Styela clava: one gene and its partner. The protein of the gene in region 1 interacts with the protein of each later gene in a pairwise test. Links are inferred from orthologs where the notes say so. Each region holds a gene or a part of one and is shown on either strand. Other genes may lie near its edges.

Region 1 (3,600 bases):
ATCAAAATTCCTACAATTTTTAATACAGAAAATACACTGGAGGGCGTTTAGATTTAGATTACGTTGTACAACAGGCTGTGTACAGCCAAAGTGACTATAAAATGTTAGAGTCACTTTGTGTACAGGATAGGATACGGTACCGTTCCGTGTCGGGTATGGGATTAGTTAGTTACCGTATTTATTAGACCGCAAGACGAGTGTGAGTTGGGGTGACCCTGGTAAAAAAGCAGCACATACTGTCATACGGTACCTACAGTACCGGTACTCTTCGACATCGGGGCTTAGCCTAGGTATAGTCTGATAGTGGAGTAAACGCTCAAATAATGCTGAAGAAAAATGTTATGTTAAAATACGGCCCAAATTTTCATTTCTTTAAAATAAAAGTACCGTATGTCTCGCACGATACAGACATAACGATATACTCTCTTGATTTTTTTTTGCATGGAACATACTTGCTCAGTTGTAAATTAAGTAGGCTTGACTTTACTTAAACGCGTCTGTCAGAAATTTCATTCCACACGAGACAGACTTGAAAATTTGACCTCCATATCCACATTACATTTTGTTTATCATTGTTTCAGCAGTTACTGCGTTTATTTTCTATTCACATTCTTGTTTGGCATTTTTTATGCAGTTGAAGTATTTACTTTGCTACCCCTGTCTGCTTGTAGGTTAGAATTATTCTCACATGCCTCACTGATTTCTCTTGGTTGCAGAATTGAATAGTAAATTTGAGGTCCTGTTCTTCCTGTAGCCCACTGTCATTCAAAGATTTCAAATGTCTCACATCAGTCACATGTGTTTCTGTTTAATGGTTAATGACTACTGTAACAATATAGTTATTTCTTTGTTTTTTGCATAACCCTAGAAATCACTGTTATGTGAATTTCCCAACCTATGGTGAGAGAGTGGATATAATAATGAACTTTATGTTCGTGAATATAATAACATTATGGATCGAGAAGCTAAATTAGCTGCCGCAAAAAAGAAATTGCGGCAATTTAAAAAGAAAAAGGGATTGAACAAGTCTCCGAAATCAGCAGAAAATTCAGAAACTAGTTCCACAACATCTGATCGTCCCACACCCACGTCAACACCTACTCAAAACCACGCTGATGATATTTTAGAAATTGAAAAATCTGAAAAATTCATTGACGAAAAGTTTGAATTATTGAGAAATGCTAATAGTGATAATCTGTCAGAAAGCACTGCCGCGACGACAGAAAGTATTCTCCAAGTTTCCGCAAAATTAAACGGAATTGCCGCTGAAGCAGCCATGTTTATTGATGATGCAAGTAGCAATCACAGCAGCGAAGAAAAATTTCAAATTATCGACCACCCTAAGCCAGAAGAACCTGAACAGCAAAACGTTATATCTGCGTTAGAAGTCCGAAATCAAGAACTTGCTTCCAAATTAGCGTCATTTTCTCAAGACAATGAAGTCTTGCGCGGACATTGTCAAAACTTATCAGATCAAGTGCAATTGATGCAAAAACAATTAGAAGCAAAAACGGAATCGGAAAATAGACAATTTGAAGATGAAAACGTTTTTCAAGAAAAGCTACAAGTTCAAATGCAAACGATTAGCGTTCTTGTCTCGGAAAAGCAAGATTTACATCAGGAATTACTAATGTTAAGATCGGAATTACACAACCGAAATATTCAACACGAAAAAAATGTTGAAGAAATGCAAACTATGCGAGAAAAGTTAGCTTCTTGTGTAAGAGACTTACAATCAAAAACAGACGAATATCATCACCTTGAAAGAAATAATATTCATCTTCAATCGCAGAATTCAGATTATAATCAAGAATTGATTCAAACGAAACAGATATTAGAAAACGAAAAAATGCAATCTACTGAATTAATGGGAAAATTACAAACTAAAGTCGTGGAATTTAACGAATTATATAGAACACATGTCGACTTGAAGGAACGTTTTGAAATGGCCGATGTGTTACTCCAACAAATGTCAGCGAATAATAATGCTGATGCTGCTTCTCAACTTAGGAATATACAACAAGAAAACGAAACTCTGAAAACTAGGTGTCTTGATTACCAACAAGCTTTCGAACAGATGAACGCAGAACGTGAACAACTGGATACACAATATAATGATACACGAAAAAAATGGGAGAACGATTTACAAAATTTACAGCAAAAAATATCATTGCTTGAAAATGAAAAACAAGATTTGTATCAGCAATGCATGAATTTGCATGAATCATTGAAAACGCTGAATGAAAAACAGAATGAAGAGAAAAATGAAACGCTGGATAATACGGAAAATAACATTGATAACATAAATGATGCTGTAAATGAAGAAAAACAAAAGGCTGCAACCATACAAAATAATCTCCGAGAGGAAATTACAGCGCAACAGAACACTAACCAATATCTGTCACATTTAGTACAAGAAAAAGAAACTCGTATTTACGAGCTTGAAAACGAGCTTGATCAAGTAAAATCATCTATAAACGAACATGAACAGTTGTTAGATAATGCCCGAAGCGATAAAGTAGCAATTTCTCGAGCATTGTTACAAAACAAGCAACTGAAAGAACAACTAGAAGAAATACAGGATGGTTTTGTACGAATGAGTAACGACAAAATGGATCTTGCTACCAACGTGATTTCGCTTGAACATGTAAATAAAGACTTGCAACTAAAGTATGATCAGAGTGAGGAATTACAAGAACAATTAAGACAAGAATTACAAAGGTACCAATTGGGAATGCATCGCTTGCAGGAACAAAATTCTAATTTACAATCGCATTTGAATGCTGCACAATCATCTCATCAAAATGGAGTTGCGCAACCACCTGAAAACTCACAAATTGAGGCCTTACAACATATGATAGCCCAATTGCAAAACGAAAACCAAAATTTACAAGAAAAATTAAATTCTGTTATAGTAATTAACCAAACTGAAAGTAACTCAGAAATAGAACATGCCAGTACAAATACAGATATAATCAATGATGCGTCACATGACAGAATTACAGAAAACGATTCTACCAAAATACCAGAACCAGAAAACGAGACAATGGCAACAGATGAAGATATGCATACTGAACATAACACCGTATCACATGTTCAGAATCATTTTACCTATCAAATTGAAAACAATGGTGTACAACTTGATGCAATGGCCATTCTACAAGAAAAATTTACTGCCGTAATGAAAGAGAAGGCGGATTTGTTGAATCGTTTAGAACTTATGGAACACGCAAATACTCAACTACAGAACGAATGCGACACAATTGGAGAATATATAGCATTATATCATAATCAGAGGCAGATATTGAAGCAGCGACACAAAGAAAAAGATAAGTATATTTCGAACATCATACAAGAACGCGAAGCGATGCAAGGAAAAGTCGAACAGTTACAAACACTGATCGTAGCCGTGCTTAACAATCGCCAAAATGGGGATGTTGATTTTTCTGCATCCCCACCAAGGTTAGATGAATCCTACACAACGATCGAATCTGAAAACCAACAAATTATAGATCCAAAATCATCATTGATGCAAGAGCAGCCAGATCTTGTACCGAAGTCTGATATTTCTAGGGATAACGATTTAACAACACCAACACG
Region 2 (7,234 bases), on another chromosome or scaffold:
ACTGCACTTGAACGAAAACGAAACGTTCTGATCCCTCTCAATAATGACCATTGTTGGCTGAGTTTTGCAGTGTCAGAGTGTTGTAGCCTAGGTGCGATGTTTGTTTATGTGTAATATTTCGATAATATGAATTGCTGGATAATACTGGATGATGTTTACGAATATATTTGTTTATTATATGTAACTATGTTCTATGATTATTATTTTTTCATCATTTATTTATTTTTACAAAACTGTTATGAATCCACAACGTGGACCTTAAAAAAAAAAAAAAAATATTTCGATTTTGCCATTCCCTCGGAATGAGTAAACGGCGGCTCTGTATTATTAAAATACGGATGCTGCATCCCGGCCAACGTTAACCACCGTTTGCGATCAAAGCACTGAAGCATGTGGGACATGTGCAGTGCTGCTATTTAACCAAATTTTCCTGTTTATCAGAATAGATTTGAGGTTAGTAGGTCATAGCAATAAGCCACTGAATTTGACTCAAGTTAAAAGCTAAATTGAAATGATAGCCACATGGTACTGAAGTATGGTTCATTTTATTGTAGGTATTGCAAATAGACTTGGTTTGGTTAGAATAGGATTTACATATTTATCCCGTGGGAGAGGAAAGCCGATACGACGGCATATCCATATGGCGAACCATGGCCTCTTGTCCGGTTACCATTCCATGTCGGGACTTGATGGTGGAGGAAGCCGTAACCGACCAGCGGTTACGTGAACCACCCTATGACGGCGAGGAGTCCAGCAATCCTATCGCACATAACCATCCTGCATGGGATTCGAACGTGCGAACCCACGCAGAGTAATTAGAGGTGCGGTGGCGAGCGTATTCCTAACGCTTAGCATGATGAGCCACACCGCCGCGCCTTGGTTTTGATCTTCTATGTCTATATGCAGATATGCTTGGCAGCGTGGTGCTTAAATAATATGCTCGCCACCATACTTCTGATTACCCTGCGTGGGTTCCCAGGTTCAATTATGTGCGAGAGGATTTCTGAACTACTTGTCGCTAATCCCATACCCGACATAAACTGGTAACCGAACGAGAAGCTGTGGTTAGCCATTATGATTGACCTGTCTTAATGACTTACCGATCCGCCGGGATTCATTTGTAAATCATATCCTGTTTCAGCCTTCTTTATAGTCAAAAGTTCTGTGCAGTGCAGGTATACCAACCAATACAGCAGTAACAAAAAATTTTATGTTGTGAAATTAGACTACAAGATGTTCTTGTTTTATAACCTGTTGTAGAAGTGAAATGGAGAAGAAGATAACTATCATAGATTGCTTCCCCAAGCTTAATCAGAAAAAGATTTTGATTTATTACACCATTCGTGCCACAAGAGTAACAATTCTATCATTTGGATATCGTTATATTTTGTTATACGCGGATTCAAGGAAGATAAAAACATTCCGTTTACCAGAAGAAATAACATGTGGAACGATTATCAATATTCCTACAAATGAAACTAATACCGCTGGAAAAGCACTATTATGTGGAACTTGCAAAGGTTCTATTTTCATAATACTGCTTCCGACAACTAAGGAAGCGTTATCTATGTTGAAAAAGGAAGATGCTAGTTACGGCGAAGCTGTCATCAAGAGAATGACTTCTGTATATAAATATAAAGGGATGTATATATTCGATGTTGTATGTAGTGGAGGAAATATACTTATAATTGGTAAAACTGCTAAAAAAGAATTTAAAATGATATTATTTAACCCAAACATACTCCACAATGCTTTGTCAGAGTTGAAAAATGGTGACAATTCGAGTTCTACCGAAAAAGATTTTCATTCGTTTCAGTCTATTTCCATCATGCCTTCTATTCAAGTCAATGATTCATGTCTGAATATTGTCTTATTCAATACAGATGAAAATCCTTTTATTCCATATTTTAATTCACTCAATAATATCCAACATTTGGATTCTTATCTGTTTATGTCTTTATTTGGAGTTAGTTTTAAAACTTCACCAGTTGTTTGTATTTTTTACCCTGGGGGTGATGTTTGGTTTTGCAGTCTTGCTGTTTATGGCAGCTCACAAAAACAATTACATCGTCTTTGTAATTTATCAGAATCATGTGCAGCAGTATGCCCAGTAGTGTTGAGCTCGAATTTTGAGCATGGCTCCAACGATTGTTGTAAAAATGATAATGATGAATCCACTTCAAAACCGGGTCTAATGCTCGTCGGATACGAAAAAACTGTATGTGTGCTTCACTCCTGTGCTTCTCAAGTATCTAAGGACAATGAATTTCATATTTGCTGGTTAAATTTATCCAGCAGTATTAAATCCTTCATATTAGAAAAAAATAATTTATTATCATTTTCCCAAGTTTTTCTTCAAAATATATCTGATTTTACACGGGGTGTAAATATGTCCGCCACCTGTACATATTTCTTTGATGAACAGCAAGTTGGTATAAAACAATTTGATACTGTATGGACTTTTCAAGAATACGAAGACAATTTTTCTATTGTAGTGGTCAATGCCAAATACCTTTTACAGGAGTATTCATTCGAAACATCACATGATTCTATTTCAAAACTATTGAGTGATCTACCATCTCTTTGTAGCCAGAATGATGAATTATTAAATAAATCAAAACAATTAACAAGTATGCTTAAAGCTTTGTCGCAGCTTGCTTCTTATCTTTCATTAGAAGTTGATGATACTAATACGAATGATTCTTGCTATCAAATAACCATTGATGAAGACTTCATTTATATCAAAATTACTAATAAAGATGTTGGAGCTGTACTTGAACCATTCCATTACAATATACACGCTACAATAAATTGGGAAGGCGTTTCTAAGGGTCGTACGCACTGCATAGCAACAAATAACTTCGAATGGGAATGTGGGAAAACTTTCAAAATTCTTCGTTGCGAAGATGATATTGGAAATTCAAAAAATAAAATTTTTGTCAGGTTATTTGCAAATATTACTGGGTTTAACAATATTGACGTTAGTACATATGGCCATGTCGAAAAAAGGTTGAGTAAAACTTTTCCCCTTCTTTTTTGTTTGCGTTAATATTACCGTAATTCCTATATTATAATAGTGCAAATTGTTTATTAATTTTATTTTACAGATTATAAACTCTTTTAACAATTAAATTAGTTCTTATAATGCATTAATTACTTAAAACTGGGAATGTATCATTCAAGTACTCAGCGGAAATATTGGACGTTTAAAAATGATTCAGAAATATCAAAAGCACGAGAGCAAGTGAATCGAGTTTACAGACAATGTTATGTGGAAAAAAGTCCTGAACATGATATTAATGATGATAGTTTCTTTCTTACAGTAAACGAGGAAAGACAATTACTGCGATGGTATGATGACAAACTAATAAAAGAATTCTGTAGACATTTTAATCCTCAAATCCCTCTTACTAGCATTGGAACAGCATGCCAGTACATGAAACGACTTTACCTTCGGTATTCTGTTATGGATTATAATCCAAAACTTATGATGTTAGCTGCGATATGGCTTTCTTGTAAAACTGACGAATTTAATATTTCAATGGATCAGTTTGTATGGAATGTTCATCATTTGTTAAAAGGAGAAGCGAGAGATCATGGCGAAGATTATGCTCGTAAATATGGAGATGCAATACTTTCTATTGAACTTATTTTAATCAAAGAACTCAATTTTCACCTCACAGTTCATAATCCATTAAGACCATTCGAAGGGTTTATTATTGATGTAAAAACTAGATATGCAGGAAGAAATATTGATAAGATTGACATGCTTCGAAAACCTGCAAGGGATTACCTATATACATCCTTTTTTACGGACGCCCAGTTGCTTTTTACTCCTTCACAAATTGCATTGGCATCGTTGCTTTCCGTAGGATCAAAACAGGGTATAAATTTAGATGCTTACGTCACGGAACATTTATTGAAAGGCCAACCGCAAAACGTGTTGGATGATACAGTCAAAAGTGTTAAAAAAATTCGATCCATTATTAAGAAATGTGTTAAACCACCATCTGAATCTGTTGCTATGGCAATAGAACAAAAACTACAGTTTTGTAGGAATAGAGAATCCGATCCATTAACTGAAGAATACGCTAGAGTAAAAAATCAAGAGGATGAAGAAAGAGATAGGGTTGCAGCACAAAAATGGAGAGCTGAAGCACAAAGACAAAAACAAATTGAAATGGATTTACTTGCTTTTTAAAATACATCACTATCAGTTTTAGATATTATTTCATTTTCTCTAAAATTTGCAGTAGCTACCATAAACTGTCCAATGGTTTTTTTGGAGAAGGAAATGACCCTGATAGTTTCGTTTTCTGTTTCAGATGTCCAGTAACATTCTTAATGAATTTAATTATTCTAAAGTACGAATTTGTAGAAAATAAACCATTCATTACAAAGTACCGTAATGTGCTGATTTGAAATACCATAAAGCTGTCATAAACCTTTTAAAGAATCGAGTCGTGCATATTTCAATGTTTTGGTTTAATTAGAATTTTATTGAATTTGTGTCCAATTTCACATGATTTCCTCTTTTTATATGAGATATGACATCAGTGTATATGAGAAATTATCTAATGTAGGCAATTTCATATATCATATGCATGATTATTCCCTATATCATTCTATACTTGGTGAAGTAATAGTTTGACTGGTGGTAGCCAGGTCGCACTCTTTATGCAATGGCATTTTTGTGTCCACAATACTTTGGATGATTATGGTTTGTGTGGTAACATATAACTGCCTTTTTATTAGTGTTATTAAAGATATTTGACTAAAAAGCAGATATTCTGATGTACATGGTAAAAAATGAAGTGATTTTTTGTTCCCATGGCTCTCTTGGCTCTATATGGTATAATTTATAAGCAAAAACTATGGTTAGAAGAAGTGATTTACATCTAAAAGGATTTTCATTTTCTGAATCTAAGTTTTGACAGTGCATTACTTCATTTCCATGAGATTGTTTCAAATTCACACCCAATATGGCAATATCTAAATAGAAATTATTCATGTGCTAGGCGTATACTGCTTTCTAACTGTTTGTGCCTTTTTTTGTTTGTTAAATTCATCAAGTAGTTGTGTGTACCACTGACTAATTTAATTGCCGAAATGTAATGCTTATTAATCTCCCTTCGTTATAGATAGTTGAAAAAAGTCAATGTTGTGTTTCTATGCTTGTTGTTGTGTTTCTAACCACATAGTCATTTCAATAAAAGGTCTGCAGTGATTTTGATGCTTCACAGCTTTAATGTTCCAATCATCCTTTCTAGATAATGTGATTTATATTTTTTTGTTTTTCATCTTCACAGAGCATAAATATGGGTAGATCCAGATCTCGTTCCAGAGAAAGAGACAAGAAAAAACATCGATCACGATCTAAAAGATCACGCTCAAGAGAACGAAAGCGTTCTCGATCAAGAGAACGTAAGAAACATGACAGAAAAAGATCCAGATCTCGATCAAAAGACAGAGATCGAAAATCTCACAAGTATAGTCATTCAGATAATAATAAAACTGATAAAGAATTAAAAGAGGAAAAGTCACAAGATTCTCAAAATGGAATGGTAGTTGAAGAGGAAGAAGATATTCAAAAGCCAAAGGTTCAACCTCTCAGTCTTGAGGAAATGCTTGCCAAAAAGAAGGCGGAGGAAGATGCTGCTGCCAAGCCAAAATTCACTACCAAAGAGGACCGTGCTGCAGCAGCAATCGCCCGAAGGCAACAAGAAGTCGAAGAAAAGCGAAAACAAATGGATGAGATGCGTAAAAAGCAGAGGGAGATATTTAGCGAAGGGAGAAAAATGCTTGAGGATCCATATGATCGAGAACGTAGAGAGCGCAAAGAACGAAGAGCCAAAGATGATGACGATGAACTAGACAAGAAACGTATCGATAAAGACGCAGAGAAAGAATTGTCATCAATCAAAGATCGATACCTGGGTATTGTAAAAAAGAAAAAACGCGTCCGACGTCTCAACGACAGAAAATTCGTGTTTGATTGGGACGCTGGTGATGACACTTCTGTTGACTTCAATCCAATTTATAAAGAAAAACACGAAGTTCATTTGTTTGGCCGTGGATTTATTGCAGGCATTGACGTTAAAGTCCAAAAGAAGTCACAATCACAATTTTATGGAGAACTTATGGAGAATCGTAGAACACAACAAGAAAAAGATTTAGAAAAGAAAAGGATGGTAAATGCTTTGAAAAAGGAGAAGAAACGATTGTGGGATGATAGACATTGGACAAAGAAATCTTTAGAGGAAATGCAAGAAAGAGACTGGAGAATCTTCCGTGAGGATTACAGTATAGCTACTAAGGGTGGAAACATTCCACCACCTTTACGATCTTGGAAAGAATGTAAGGATATTCCAGACGAACTTCTAGCAATCATTGATGGACTTGGTTACAAGGATCCAACTCCGATTCAACGACAAGCTATTCCCATCGGCCTGTTGAACCGTGACATTATCGGCGTTGCAGAGACTGGTTCTGGTAAAACAGCGGCATTTTTAATCCCCCTCTTGATATGGATAACATCACTGCCTAAAATAGAGAGATTAGAAGATGCAGATAAAGGACCATATGCAATTATTTTAGCTCCGACTCGTGAACTGGCACAACAAATCGAAGAGGAAACCATAAAATTTGGTAAAGAACTTGGAATGCGTACTGTTGCAGTCATTGGAGGTTTATCAAGGGAGGACCAAGGTTTTAAATTGCGCATGGGATGTGAAATTGTTATTGCAACACCAGGTCGTCTTATTGACGTCTTGGAAAACCGCTATCTGGTATTGAGCCAATGCACATACGTTGTTCTTGACGAGGCTGATAGGATGATTGACATGGGTTTTGAACCTGATGTGAAGAAAATTCTTGATCATATGCCAGTGACAAATCAAAAGCCTGATTCAGAGCAGTTGGATGATGATTTACTAATGCGAAGCAATTTTCTATCAAAGCATAAGTTTAGACAGACTGTCATGTTCACTGCAACTATGCCTCCTATTGTTGAAAGGTTAGCTAAAACTTATTTGCGACGCCCAGCGATTGTGAATATTGGAGTAGCTGGAAAACCAATAGAAAAAGTAAAACAAATTGTTCATTTGTTAAAGGAGAATGCAAAAAGGAGAAAGCTGTTGGAAATTTTGGGAGCAGGTATCACACCACCTATTATTATATTCGTAAATCAGAAAAAAGGTTGCGACGTCTTGGCAAGATCATTGGAAAAAATGGG

What was found.
Region 2: the proteins of golgin subfamily A member 2-like (region 1) and cyclin-H-like interact in binary tests that used the Homo sapiens proteins (3 or more experiments, as listed by UniProt). The link is inferred for Styela clava from reciprocal best matches to the Homo sapiens genes GOLGA2 and CCNH.

What each region holds. Positions count from the first base shown.
Region 1 is NC_135250.1:8,082,212-8,085,811, forward strand, and holds the start of golgin subfamily A member 2-like, read left to right. Parts: upstream 1-841; 5' UTR 842-952; coding exon 953-3,600. UniProt on the Homo sapiens protein: Peripheral membrane component of the cis-Golgi stack that acts as a membrane skeleton that maintains the structure of the Golgi apparatus, and as a vesicle thether that facilitates vesicle fusion to the Golgi membrane.
Region 2 is NC_135258.1:10,982,363-10,989,596, forward strand, and holds cyclin-H-like, read left to right. Parts: upstream 1-3,088; 5' UTR 3,089-3,169; coding exon 3,170-4,201; 3' UTR 4,202-5,310; downstream 5,311-7,234. Other genes in the region: putative ATP-dependent RNA helicase DDX23, read left to right, coding at 5,319-7,234. UniProt on the Homo sapiens protein: Regulates CDK7, the catalytic subunit of the CDK-activating kinase (CAK) enzymatic complex. CAK activates the cyclin-associated kinases CDK1, CDK2, CDK4 and CDK6 by threonine phosphorylation.